Pelodiscus sinensis: one gene and its partner. The protein of the gene in region 1 purifies or fractionates together with the protein of each later gene. This does not show direct contact. Links are inferred from orthologs where the notes say so. Each region holds a gene or a part of one and is shown on either strand. Other genes may lie near its edges.

What was found. Proteins that work in one complex are often made in the same cells at the same time.
Region 2: the proteins of SCLT1 (region 1) and KIZ purify together in Homo sapiens (co-immunoprecipitation; 3 studies listed by BioGRID and IntAct, counting the BioPlex papers as one, with this or other methods). This does not show direct contact. The link is inferred for Pelodiscus sinensis from reciprocal best matches to the Homo sapiens genes SCLT1 and KIZ.

Annotation. Positions count from the first base shown.
Region 1 is NC_134715.1:50,627,250-50,634,254, reverse strand, and holds the start of SCLT1 (sodium channel and clathrin linker 1), read right to left. Parts: upstream 3,012-7,005; 5' UTR 2,898-3,011; intron 2,829-2,897; exon of another isoform or gene 2,610-2,828; intron 2,344-2,609; 5' UTR 2,263-2,343; coding exon 2,229-2,262; intron 593-2,228; exon of another isoform or gene 462-592; intron 1-461. UniProt on the Homo sapiens protein: Adapter protein that links SCN10A to clathrin. Regulates SCN10A channel activity, possibly by promoting channel internalization.
Region 2 is NC_134713.1:195,717,463-195,725,160, reverse strand, and holds the start of KIZ (centrosomal protein kizuna), read right to left. Parts: upstream 3,011-7,698; 5' UTR 2,934-3,010; coding exon 2,839-2,933; intron 1-2,838. UniProt on the Homo sapiens protein: Centrosomal protein required for establishing a robust mitotic centrosome architecture that can endure the forces that converge on the centrosomes during spindle formation. Required for stabilizing the expanded pericentriolar material around the centriole.

The sequences.
Region 1 (7,005 bases):
AGACACATCACTGAGGTTTGTGCTATTCTAGACAGTATGAGCTCTAGTTTGATGGGGAAAATAATGAAAGTATGCAAGTGCTAAAAATAGCAACCATGGCCTGAAAAATACAAGGCACTTTAAAAGGAAAGGCAAATCGAAGCTAGGCACAAAATTACACACTTTTTTCAACACATAACCCTTTCTCCCCCCAAAAAATAGTAGAAAGAGGGTCTGATACAGCAGCCCTTCCTTTCAATTATAGAAGTGCCTTTTTATAATGTGAAAGGTGACCTTTCATCTGAGATCACCCAAATCATCTGTTCAATATATGATTTTCTATTTAACAATGTAACAGGGTGTACCAACCCCGCACTGGGCCTGAAAGAGTTAACCAGAGCTACCTAACAGAGAGCCTCACCCCCACAGCCCTGCTGGGAATGCACCAGCTGGAGGACAGGTATAAATGCCAGTGGAGCAGCTCAGTCAGAGCTGGCTGCTGTAGAGGAAGAAGCTCCTGCCAGAGTTCTGCAGGAAGAGCTATGGTGGGACCAAACCATGGAGGCCAATCAGGGGAGAATAGCTGGAGAAGAAGCCTATGGTCATGAATAAGGTAGGAAGTAGACCAGGGCAGGGAAGAGCTCAGCATGTTTTGGGTGGATTCCCTGCTGAGCTAGTGATGGGACATGCTCACCACTGACAGGCCCCTGGACTTGGACCTGGTGGAAAAGGTGGGCCTGGTGATTATTGCATCTGGCTGCTAGGCCTTATTGCCCTGAGACCAGAAAATGGTGATTATGGACTCGGACCACTAGGCCTCACTGCCCTGAGGGAAGGAAGCGGGAAACAGATGTTGGCTGCTCGGTCTCATTACCACATGAACAGGGTGGGCTGCTATTGATTCTGGCCCCATTGCCTTCAGGGAAGAGAGTGAGAACTGACTCTGGACATTAAGCCCCACTGCCCTGAAGGAAGAGGGTGGGGATTCCCACTGGCTACTAGGCCTTGTCACCTGGAGGAAAGGGGGGCAATTACTGACTGTCAGAGCTCACTGCCCTTGCAGAAGGGGCTGTTTCACTGACTGACTGCTAAGCAAGACTGTTGCATTGGAAAAAAGGGTGTAGTCAGAGGACCTGGGCCCTAGAGACACTCATAGGGTGGAGCACACTTTTTGAAAGGTCTAAAGCCCTGCCACAGAGGGGACTGGGAGTACCCACTCCATGACAAACAATGCAATAGTGCCATCAATGACCATTCTAACGATTACATATTACTCCACTTGTTCTGTTAAACTGTTCAGTAGGCAGTCCTAGAAGGGATTAGCAGAAATCCTGATTGGGCCACAGTGGCTGTGGTGGGAGCATGAAGAACCCTAACACACTGCAGCAACCCCAGATTCTGGTCCCAGCTGCACTACTGCAACCCCAGGCCGACACAGCAGCAACCCTGGAATCCAGACCCTGGCCCATGGTGCACTGGACCCACATTGGCTCTTGACATGCCTGCCCGCAGCGTGGTAATGACCCCCCCACATACAGTTGCCCTGTCCCCACCAACAGTTAACTGGTGGTCACAGTCTAAACAATTACAATTATACCATTTAACTGGTTAACAGTTTTGATAAAGTTTCACATCGCTACTGCACACTGTAAGTATGAAAAAATAAGAAAATTCCCTGAGTATATGAAAATTAGATAAAGACATTATTGAACTCTGTCAGAGTACAGGCAATACGGGGAGGGCTCTTCTGCTGTGTTTAATAGGCCAGAAGTCCAAACTTTTTCAGTAGGTCTAATCGTACAGACCATGTAACTGATGGAATTTCCATCAGGCCTTGTGGGCACCAGCCTATCTACCCACACTCCCTACCAGAGTTTAAATGGTAATAGGAACAAAGCATCAGCTAACAGGTTAACTGGTTAACCATTTAAACTCCTACATCCCTAAGTCAAATGGAATATTGGTTTACATGTATTAACAAACCAGAGCTGTTGACAATTATTTTATTCTGTTAGAAAAGAGTGTTATAGAAACTAATTGCTAAAATTACTGTAAAACAGAAGTGTGTGTGTGTGTGTGGTGGGGGGTGTTTGTTTACTCTAGAACTCCTAGAGTAAACTCTAGAGGCAGGTTTCCTGTTTGCATCCATTTTTCAAACACTAGTCAGGGAGTGAAACCGTTAGGTTATCAAATGTAATTGCAAGACCTTAAGTGCACAAACGGCTATTTTAAGTGTATGTCGTGCTTACTTTGATCTCTTAGAAAATTAATCTCCGCTGCCATATTTTAACCTGCTTGTGCAGTCCAATGTTGGTAATGAAGAGCTTCAGTACACTGCTGTTTTTTCCTGCCCTGCTGCAGAGCCTGCAAGAAACAAGCCAAACCAGTTTATTATAAGTTTAAATGAGCTGCTTTCTGCGCGAGCCGCATTTTATCCAAGTCTGGTAACAGCCTCCGCTAGCGACGGGGAAAGAGCAGCGGAAACAGCGTTTAGCCCGTCACACCAATCACCCCCCCCGTAGTGCAGCTGCTACAGACTCATCGGCTCCACGGCGACCCAGCAGCTCGCGCTCTGCCCAGGTGTCTCCCCGCCCTAACCCCGCCCACCACGAAGCGTCCCGTGTTGCTACCCCGAGGACAGGCTCGTGCCCAGCAGGCTCTCAGGAAAGGGGGCATCTTCTATGGCCCCGCGCGCCCTGCCGCCAGCGCATCCCGGGCCGTCGCCGAGAGGGCAACGGCGCCCAGCGGCTGGGGCCGTGCACAGGACGCCGCCGCTCCCAGGCAAACCGCCCCGTTCTCCAGACGAGCGGCTCGGCGGCGGCAAGACCCGGGGGGGAGGGGAGGAATGACCGTTGCGCAGCGACTTGCCCTGTGACCAACCCCCTTTCCGAGCCAGGGGTCCTGCCGCCAGCGCCTACCTGCCCAACGGCTCCCTCCAACCGCGCGCGTGCACCCCCGGACACCCGCAGCACTTCCACCAACTGCCCGAGCAGCCGACCCAGCGCGGAACTGTGTAGCTCACGTGACAGCCACCGATCTACCAATTGGAATCCGAGATAAGTGGCAAGCGGTGTCTGATTGGTCCTTATCTTAATTTCCGCATGACGATGAGGATCTGCCTGGGTCTGTCTCGCGGGGCAAGGACGGGCCAGAGAACTGGCCGAAGGGTTGCGGGCGGAGGCGCGCGCGCGGTAGGTAGAATCGCTCCATTTAGGGAACCAGCAGCAACTGCCGCTCTAGCTTGCGCGGGCACGTGGGGGGAGACAAGCAGGAGCCGGTTCCCCTCAAGCAGGGGCGATTGCTGAGAAGGGGCGTGTAGGGTACCGGGCACGTGGCTGCTCTCCAGCACCACCTCTCCGTAGCTAGGCACAACAAGCCGCCCCTCCGCCCCAGCCCCTTGACCCGGCTCTTCCCCGCACACTGGTGCCGTTGTCAAGTCTGCAGCTAGGCACCACTGGCTGGCCCATCCCAGCTACTGGCTTGCAGGGCTCAGAGTAACGCGCTGGTTAACTGCCCTCTAGACGGTTGGGCCGTGGCTGAAGTTTGGGCTCCTTGCAAGGTCAGCAGGTCCCAGAGATCAGGCTCCAGCTGGAGCCCAGAAATCACGGTCTTGAAAGAGCCCTGCTACCTAAGCCCTGTGAGCTTCAGTTGGCTGGCACAGACCACCCACGTGTCTAGCTGTTGTGTAGACATACCTGTAACACACCGTCTATTAATGCTGCCAGTTATTCCATCCATTCAAGTGGCAGAGATCTGTGCAGTTGAGCCAAGCCGTCTGGCTCCTGTGGGTATCAGTATGATGCAACACAATGGGGTTTTTTTTCAGTTTATTTTAAGCCTAGGAAAGTACTTTGCACAGAAGTAGTGGAAAGAATGTTATTAGGATTCAGGATGTTACATTGCATCAACTACATGATTAGTCAACAAGGAGCACTCTGCAGAGCCGCATCCGCATCCGGTGTGGCTCCAGGAGTCAGCTGGAGTCGGGGCTGAGCAGTGCTGTCTGCAGGAGACACCCTTGCTGTGGCTCTGCATTTTAAATGTAGTAAGAGCTACTGGGCTCTTAATACACATAAAATGCAGAGATGTAACATCCCAGACTAGCGTGAGCACCAGTCCCTGCCCACCGGAGGGGGGGGCCCAGCTCCCCGCTGAGACCTCTCTTTGTAGCAACCTCCCCTATCCTCTCCCCCAGATGGGGAAACAAGCAGCATTGCAGAGACAGTGCAGGGGGGAAACTGGCTTTTAAGCTGGCTCCCACCAGCACCAACTCCTGTTTGCCCCCTTTCTATCCTTCTACCTCTCATAGAGGCAGTGATGGGGGGAAGGGAGGGGGACACGAGTAGTAGATACTCCACTCAAATACCAATGAGCTTGTGCTTATTGGATAGTTGACTAGTCCAGCGATTCCCAGTTGGTGATGGTCCTCGAACTGCTGACTGCGGATAGCAAGGTGAAGTCAGGTGTTCACAGCCACTGGGGGGCATTGCTAGGGTACATCCCAGTCCCCTGAGCCACCACACAGTAGCCAGCTTCCAGGGTGCTGCAGCCTCACTCTCCTGCCTCGTGCACACACATGCTTCTTCCCCCATGCAGTTGGCATACCAGCATTGCCTTCCCACTGTGGATGGGAGAGGGGAGAGAAAGCTCTGAGTCTTGCTCCACAATCCAACTTGCAGGAAAGAAGCACTGCCCTTTCCCTCTCCTGCCTGGGGGAACAGCAGCGTGCAGGCAGCGCTTCTTCCCCATGAGCCAGATCGTGGTGCAAGGCTTGGGGCTTTGTCTCCCCCTGCCCCACAGCGGGAAGTCAGCACTGGTGCTCCAACCATGTGAGGGGGAGGGAGGACAGAGGCTCCTGATGTCACTGAGGTTTGAAGGTCCCTAATCTAGCTGCTTATGCAGCTGCTTCATTAACCAGGGTTTGAGGAGTTTCTGATCATCTTAACTCCCTAGTCTGTGCTTGAGTTCCCTGTATGTCAAAATGGGGTCACAGCGCTTCTTCCTAGGTGTGGTATGAGGACAGGCAGACTGGAAAAGATATAAGGACCTAACAGGGCACAAGCAGGGCTGGACCGAGCCATTCCAGCGCCCCGGGCAGACAGTTTAATTGCGCCCCGGGTTGGGGAAGGGCGCATGCGTGGCCCTGCCCCGGTGTCGGCGTGTGGGGGAGGGCAGGCGGAGCTGGCGGCAGCAGGACGCATAGGCCCAGCCCGGCTACCGCCGCTGGCGCACAGCCCGGGGCCACCCGGTGCAGACTGAGCCTGGCCGTGCAGGGGCCCCATTACCTCGGGGGGAAGGGTGCTGCTGTCTGGTGCTGCGGTGGTTAATGCAGCTCCCGCTCTGGGCGGCCGCTGCAGGGTAGCTGCTGGGAGCTGCTGCATCCAGCGATCCAGGAGCTGGGCGTGCGGTGCCTGATGGCAGCTATAAGGGGTGCTGTGCGCCTCTTACAGCTGCCATCAGGCACCCCCCCATAGGTTGGCACCCCGGGCAGCTGCCTGGCTAGCCCATGCCTTAATGCATGAGAAAGTTAAAGCACTTACATTAATATTGCCTTTTTTACTGGTTAAATTAAAAAGTTCTCCCTTGCTGCAGCACTAGCAAAGTGACTTGGGCTTAATTATGTAACTAACAGCAAGTTTCTATTAGCAATTGGTGGTCCACAGAAAGGTTTGTGTTGAGCCAGGTAGGGGCCCTGGGCCAAAAAATCTGAAGCATAAGGTATTGGGTGGTACTGGGCAGAGAGGCAATGTGGTAGGCACACTGACAACACAGGGCTGGAGCTGGGGGTGTAGGTGGGAGGAAAATGCAGGGGTTGGGATGACAACGGCATTGTAGAGAGGTTGGGATGAAGGTGACGCAGCTGGAGTTGGGGCACAGTGTTGGAGTTAATTGCAAAGGGGGCACAGGGTGGGGAGCCAGGGATGGGGGAGCCCATGGCCACCAAAGAAAATAGGAGGGCACCATGCCTGGGGTTGGGGAGGCAGGGGCACCACAATACAAGTTCACCCAGAGTGCCATTTTCCCTAAGGCTGGCTCTAGCTGGGGTACATATTTTGGTGGATGAGTAACACTTTCTTTGCATATTCATTATGCAAATAATAATTATGTAAATATTATCGGTTCACCAAACATTTGTGAATGGGTTTGCTGGTCCACTGCATAAAAAAGGTTGGGAACCACTGGACTAGTCGACTCCCCGCAAACATCTCTAAATAGCATTGCAAGGTCCAGCACTCAGAAGTCAAATGCCAGAATTACAGTTTTGTGTTAACATTAATTTTATCCATTTCTGTGTGCATACTGTTTTTTCCTGTATTTTTATCCTTGTTGGGAATTCCTGAAATAAGCCAGAAATGTTTATTGGTCTCTGTTAAAGCTTTTGTTCTATTTAAAAATTGTGTGGTATAGAACTCACTTCTCTGTAGTGTTACAAGGGAAGTGTGTAGAGAAGCCAATAATAGAAACATACCATTACCAGTAAATTCTGGCTCCACAATTTATGCTTACAGCTCTTTGAATGTATATGAATCAAACACTACTAATAGTTTTACATTGCTAGCTTGAGGCTATGCTATCCAAGTTTTTTCACAGTGTTATGAAAGTTCCTTTTGTTTTAGAGTCTGCATATCTTAATTTGAGTATTTTAGAGTTTTCTTACAGCAAATGCTCAAGCATAGGATTATTGAGGTAGTACATTTTTTTGTACTCTGTCAATATTTAACACAGTTTTTAAGCAACAGCCTATGTAGATCTAGATATTGATATTTTCTATTTTAAGAATAGAATTGTGATCAGCTTCTCTCTCTTATAGTGTATGCTGGTTCACACATTAAGGCTTGATCATGCAATCCTTATACAGAGAAATCTGTGGACTTCAAGAAGAAATATGCGTAACAGGGTTTCAGGTCAGGCAGTTAATATGTTATTACAAACACCTTTATTGTACTATTCAAACCTGGAGTATGAATTTCTGAAACTTGCATGTATGCACAGGCAAAATTCTGCATTCCTGTACAGAAGGACAGA
Region 2 (7,698 bases), on another chromosome or scaffold:
TGTGCCCTCAAGGGACCTTTTTATTTCAGACTCAGGCTAGGCTATGGCAGGAAGACCTCTCCAGCCCCGCTGCTGTGGAGTAGCCCCCACGTCAGTCTGTTAACTGGTTAAACATCAAAAACTCCTTCTTGTGTCAGGACCCCTACAATTACAACACTGTGGAATTTCTGATTTACATAACTGAAAACATGCCATTTATAATTTTAAAAATCCTATGACTGTGACATTGACTGAAATGGACCGTGAATTTGGTAAGACCCTAATTATGTACCTTCAAGGTGTAACATGCTGTGCACCCAGAAACAGAGGCCACCTAAAATCACTAATCTTTTTAAAATGTAACCTTTTAATTATAATTACTTTGTTAAAGAAGCATGCATAAGGGCCAAGTCAAAGTGCTGCCTGCTCCACTTGAAAAGCTCCAAATAAAAGCAACAGATCAAAAGTTATTATAGACATTATTCATAATCCCACCCTACACATCACAAAAGTGAGGTGTTAAAGAAGCTAAATAATTAAGAAGTTTAACAACACACACACACACACTTCACCTACAAACAGCAACATATAACTACCTGAAATAAAATAATAAAACAAAAGGAAGTGGCAGACGTATCATCCTTTGAGTCATTTAAAGCAACTTACATAACTTAGACTAAATACAGTTCTGTTTAAAAAAAAGTTTTAAATATCCCTAATAACAGGAATTGATTAGTGACACTCCCCCTACCCATTTTTCAGCTGAGGACATTTTACGTTTGCATTTAGAAGTTCTCCTGTTGTGTGGGCAACAAACACTGTGCTAAAGTTTACCAAATGTGGCAGCATTACTTAGAGCAGTTGCTTTCAGATCTTTTTGGAATGCTCTCACTAACTCACAGACTTTTTCTTAGGTCCTGGCTCTGAAACTTGCTTGATGTTCATAGAGCCTTGCAAATCCTTGGATATCCCCTTTATATCTGCAAGTATCCACATATGAGGTTGTGGATGTGGATATATGCTCAGTTCATTTTTGCTGATATAGATGTAGATACAAAATGTTCTATCCATACAGGGCTCTATTCATAGACAGACCCCTGTGTCTATGCTGTATCCTACTGACTTGAGTGAGGCTCCACACTGGTATTTTATTCAAGTAAAGTGATAAGCAACCAATATTCTGGCATGTTAACTTATCTTACAGAAAGAGGCAAATTCCCAGAACTGGAACATGGCTGTGGGATCCACCACACAGAACAAGCTACCTAATAGGAGCCAAAGACAACACCCTCCTGAACTCTCATTCCCAATTCTCCATCCTCCCAGGAATAACCACAGTCCTTGGTTATATAAAGACATAACATTGGGACAGTATTAAGATAACACAAACATAAAGTGGCTTTAGTGCATCTGAGGCCAATGACTTGGTTATGATCTATTTAGTTGCATTGTTGTTACTTTCCACTCTGCACTTCCTATTTATTAGGGCCAGCTTGGGAGTGAAAGGAGCCTGTAGAAGGAGGAATCAGAAGGAGATAGGAGCTAGAAGCCTACAAGAGTGTGTGAACTTAAGTAAACTGACAAAGGGAGGCTGGAGGCGGGGGACAAACAAAACGGACTGGAACTGGGCTGGAAGGGACAGAGTAGAGAGGTGAGCAATTGAGGAGGAAAGAGGAACAGACAGATGGGAGTCAGGGGGAAGGAAGGACAGACGGGGGGGGGGGTTCAGGACAGACGGGGAGCACAGGATGGGAAGACAGGGGCCGGGGGAAGGACGGGCAGACAGGGGGAGAGACTCAGAACAGGCAGCCAAGGGGCCGGGGGCCGCAGGACAGACAGGGGACGGGCGGACAGACAGACACGGGGGCAGAGAAAGGACGGACAGACGAGGCGGGGGGGGACAGACAGGGGACGAGGCGGGGGCGGATTGCGGAGGGGGCCGGGGGCCGGACGGGGGGGGGCTCAGGACGGACGGGGGGGGACCGGGGGCCGGGCAGACGAGGGGGGGGGACGGACATGGGGGGGTCGCGGAGGGGGCCAGGCAGACGGGGGGGGGTCGCGGAGGGAGCCGGGGCCGGGCAGATGAGGGGGGGACGGACACGGGGGGGTCGCGGAGGGGGCCGGGCAGACGGGGGGGGGACGGACACGGGGGGGTCGCGGAGGGGGCCGGGCAGACGAGGGGGGACGGACACGGGGGGGTCGCGGAGGGGGCCGGGCAGACGGGGGGGGGACGGACACGGGGGGGTCGCGGAGGGGGCCGGGCAGACGAGGGGGGACGGACACGGAGAGGTCGCGGGGGGGGCCGGGCAGACGGGGGGGGGACGGACACGGGGGGGTCGCGGAGGGGGCCGGGCAGACGAGGGGGGGACGGACACGGGGGGGTCGCGGAGGGGGCCGGGCAGACGAGGGGGGGACGGACACGGGGGGGTCGCGGAGGGGGCCAGGCAGACGGGGGGGGGGTCGCGGAGGGAGCCGGGGCCGGGCAGATGAGGGGGGGACGGACACGGGGGGGTCGCGGAGGGGGCCGGGCAGACGGGGGGGGACGGACACGGGGGGGTCGCGGAGGGGGCCGGGCAGACGGGGGGGGACGGACACGGGGGGGTCGCGGAGGGGGCCGGGCAGACGAGGGGGGGACGGACACGGGGGGGTCGCGGAGGGGGCCGGGCAGACGGGGGGGGACGGACACGGGGGGGTCGCGGAGGGGGCCGGGCAGACGAGGGGGGGACGGACACGGGGGGGTCGCGGGGGGGGCCGGGCAGACGGGGGGGGGCGGACACGGGGGGGTCGCGGAGGGGGCCGGGCAGACGGGGGGGGGGCCGAGGGGCCGCGGACTCGCTAGGCCTGGGCCGGGGCCCTCACCTGTCCCGGAGCCGCAGCTGGAGGCTGCCCAGGGTCGCGGCGGGCTGAGGGCGCCGGGCTCCCCCCGCGGCGCCGGGCCCGGGCGCCCCGCACATGCCGCGCTGTTTACACCGGTGTCCTAAGCGACGGCTCCCACCATGCACCGCGCCCGAGCGGACCCGGAAGCGCTGGGCAGGAGGCGGGGCCTCGCGCGTAGGCCCGCCAGGGAGGGGGGCGCGCGGCCCAAGCCCCGCCCCCTGCTGGCGGCGGCGGGGAGCTCACCCCAAACCCCGCCCCTCACTTGGGCCATAAGCCCCGCCCCCTGCTGCTGGCCAGGGGGCGGGGCCCGGTCCCCAGACAGGCCTTAGTGAGCTGGCACCAGGCGCTGGCCTGAGCCCTCCCTGGCCCTGGCTTGTAGCTGCTGGAGGAAAGGCAGGGACCCCCCCATGCGCTTCCTCCCAGCCCAGCGCTGTGGCCCCCGGCCCGGCCCGGTTCCTGGTCCCCGCCGTGGGACTGCAAACCAGAATCTCGGCGTCCCTTAACAAATAAACCAGTCTGCTTCCAAAAGCTGGGCCATGTGACAGGCGCGGGTCACACGCAGTAACCTTTGCAGGAGTCTGCAGACAGCTTGGTAGCCAAGCGCAGAGAGGGTGACCTGCCCACTCGCCATTAGTCAGTGCTCTGTGTGCCCCTGCCTTCCCCACAACTCCCAATTGATTGGCTCAGATTACGCTGTGCGCCCTGTAGGTACTATTCCAAGAAACCCACACTCAAGGCCTCAAAGAGTGCAAGCTGGAATCCAGCTCCCAGTCAATCAAATGAGGAAACAGAGCATAGACAGCAGATTCAGCAGGCCAACAGCTTATTGTTGAGTGTTTTGTAAGCGTCACAACAGAGTTTTAAGGGGGGCACTGAAGAGGACTGCATAAAAGATGTATGTATAATTGCAGGAAGCATCTCCAATATGTAAATATCTAAATGCAATGTAAAGCACTATAATGCTTACACAAAACCTCCTCTCTCTACCGCCTTTCTTGCTGATCAATATGGTCTCCTTTTAGTCTCATGTCTGTTGTTTCTTGTGCTCAATTGTAAGCTCCTGGGGGCAGAGACGTCCTTGTTTTGTGTTTGTGCATCAGCTAGCACAATGAGGCACTGGACTACAGTAACTGAAATAATAATAATAAAAACCCCAAGGTGACTGTGAGAAAACAAAGCTTGACATTTTCTTTTCATTTTAATTTTGTAACTTACCTTGATCGGTCTGTTTTCACTTGCAACCACTTAAAACCTGCTGCTTGTACTTAACAAAAACACTTTTGTTTGCTATCAAGGCCAGTATAAATAATTGTTACCTGGGGGAAACAAGCAGTGTGCATATTCCTTTTTCTTGATAAAGGGAGCTTGCCTGAACGAGCTTTCACTGTGGAAAACTTTTACACAGAGAAAGACGGATTTATTTGGGGGTTTGATCCCTTTGTAGGTTGGTTTCTTGGGTGCTCTGCCCTAAAATTGCTTTCTCTCAGAGATGAAGTAGTTCAGTGTCTGCATTCCTTTTCAGGGGGGCAGTAACCCCAACTCTGCCTTATCTAGGAGAGGCCAGAGGATCTGGCCCAGTAGGATAGGGTGGTGGGAAGCCCCAGAAAGCAAGAAGGCAGAGGTTGGTGGCATGATCAGCACACCAGGGAACAATCCCATGGAGTCTCTTGTGACAACACCCTGTCACATGAGGCTAATTCCATAAGTAGTTGTGGGGTGTTCAGATACTATGGTTAAAAAAAAGTCCAGTCTCTAAATCAGTGGTACTCAAACCTGTAACAGAAGGAATGCTACGCTAAGTAGAGGTGCAGACAGCTCCAAAAGGATTAAATGTATTTAGAACAGAAAAGTGATCAGTACACATTTATAATAAAATGATTAACAAAATCACATTCTCTATTAGAATAACTTTCCTAAACCATCAATATTTACTTACATTAGTTGCTTATGAACAGAGACAGTGTGTGTCGCTGCGATGGGGCATATCAACCCCTCACTGGTGCAGCAAGAGTTAATCCTGCTCACCTAGGCTATGTCTAGACTGAAGGCTTCTTACGGAAGAAGCTTTTCCAGAAGAGATCTTCCAAAAAAACTTCTTCCGAAAGACCGTGTCCACACTGCCAAAGCACATCAAAAAAGTGATCTGCTTTTTCGAAAGAGCGTCCAGACTGAATGTATTTAAACTGCGATTACTATGGACGGAGCGGCCACCAGGGCAACTGTGCATTTTCCTCTTTCCTCTTCTTTCACAAGAACTCCCTCTTCCCCAGCCACACATGCCTTTTTGTGAAAGCTCTTCTGAAAAAGGGCTTCTTCCTCGTAGAAAGAGGATTGCCAGTGCTGGGAAAACCCCTCTGTTCTTTCAATTTTCTTTTGAAAGAGTGTGGACACAATTGAAGTTTTTTTCGGAAAAACAGTCGTTTTTCCGGAAAAAAAACCTCTGTAGTGTACACATACCCTGCCCCCTAGCTCTGCTGAACATGCTACAGGTGGAGGCCAGGTATGAAGGCCTGCCAAGCAGCGCAGTCTGGGCTGACTACTCATGAGGGAAGGAAGTGTTGGGCTAGTTCCTGAGGAAGGACTGCTTGTGCAGCAGGATGTTGACACTGCTGAGAGGGGAGGGATGGAAAACCCAGAAACGTGGAAGGAAGCGATCTAGAGGAGTTTTGTGAGACATGGTAGCCATATCAGAGCAGCTTACTGTGTTTTAATGGGAGCCCTGCTGTGCTAGTGGTGGGCAAATCTGCCACCAACAGGTCCCTGAGTTGGGACTGGGTGAAGAGGGTGGGGCTGAGTCCCCTTAACCCTGACTACTACCCCCTCCTGAGGTGATTACCCTGCACCCCTTCTTATCAACTGCTACCTTGTGCTGCCCTGTGACTGAAGGGCTTTGCTACTGACTCTGGGGGTGTGTCTAAACTACATGGCTCCATCGATGGAGCCATGTAGATTAGCCTGATCGGCAAAGGGAAATGAAGCCGCGATTTAAATAATCGCGGCTTCATTTAAATTTAAATGGCTGCCGCGCTGAGCCAACAAACAGCTGATTAGCTGTTTGTCGGCTCAGCGCGCTAGTCTGGACGCTCCTGCACCGACCTGAAAGCCCTTTATCGACCTCCCCATTATACCTCGTAGGATGAGGTTTACCGGGGAGGTCGATAAAGGGCTTTCATGTTGGCAGGGGAGTGTCCAGACTGCCCCAACCTGCTGACAAACAGCTGATCGGCAGAGCAGGGCAGCCATTTAAATTTAAATGAAGCCGCGATTATTTAAATCGCGGCTTCATTTCCCTTTGCCGAACAAACAAATCTACATGGCTTGGTCGACGGAGCCAGGTAGTCTAGACGTACCCTGGTTGTCCAGCTATGTTGTCCTGGTAGCTGGAACTACAGCGGAAGACTCAAATTGTTGAGCCCAACGATGAGGCTGTGGAGTACCCAACCCACACCCTGAGAGTGATGTGTATCTTGATCCCGTGGCAGCACGTCACATATATTCTACATCACATTTCCCTGCCCCCAGGGCAATAACCACAGGCAGGCCGGGCATCACTCAAATTTGTGAAAAGAGCCACGTTCTAGATTCTAGAGACACGTATATCTCAAAAGCCGCAGGTTGAGTCCCCCAGTTCTAACAGTAACCAACCCCTTCTGCAATTCCAGGTTCTTCTGCCAGGTTTTAATGTTCTATAGCACTGCTAATGACTCTCCACACGTCTCAGTTTCAAATTTGGATAACACGTTTCAAAAAGCATTGCTGGATAGATGCAGTTGTACTTAACAGTCCCTAAATTAACTGCCATCACTTGAATACCCGTAGCTGCTGCCTGGCTTAGTCCTCACAGATCCACTATAAATAAATGGCTCTCATAAAGATATGGGAGGTTTTAGCTTGTGAAAAAGCTTACACACTCAATAAGACACATATGCAAAGGATTTGCAGATTTGGGAGCCTTTTATTATTGCATTCACCCAACGTGTGATTAAACGGAAAACCCTGCTGTTCTATTTTCTTTCTATTGAAAGCACAAAAATGCTAGTCAGACTTCTGGTGCAGGGTTGATTTCATACCTATCAACCACCAGAAAGACAATTTTGCCACTGATCCCGATCTCTATCAGATACTGAACAAAACCCTGGATCGGAATATGCCTGAAATGTAGGAGATTTGGAACCTGAAATCGGGATCCACGCTGTATAAGTCAGGTCCATTAAAAACCTGCAGGGGGGAAAAAGGAAGATATTCAGAATATATCCGGCTGCTTTGAAATAATGAAATGAGTGCTGTAATGTATGGCCTGATCCTGAACCATCAATGTCTATGGAACTTTGTCATTGATTTCAGTGGATCCAGGATCACAGTGTCGTCGTCCCCTCCCCTGCTCCTGCCATCCCAACCCCACAGTGTTTCCGATGCACAATTTTCCTCACAGGTCTTGCTATATGTTGTGTTTTTCTTAAAGCCACTGGAGTCAAGAGGCTTAGACTTTGACTATCAGCTTTCATTTAATTAAGTAAATGTCTAACCTTCCTGATTGTGCAGAAAAAGTTGAAAACGTGACTCTATCTAGGGTTCCCTAAAGGTTCAAACCCCAGAAGGCAAATAAAAAGCCAAAATGTATTCTTGGCTTAAAAACATCAGGAGACTTACAACTGTCTTTGTTTTGGGAGGCTTGACTCGTGAGTTTTGCATGCTTGCGTTTGCCAGCACTACCCACAGGGTGGACCACACCGAAAAGTTCGGCAGCGCCTAACCATAACCACTTTCCCAGCGGCACTAGAAGGAGCAATAGACGGAAACCGAGACACCCCTCATAAGCTTTCCTCTTGTCTCGAGTGGAAT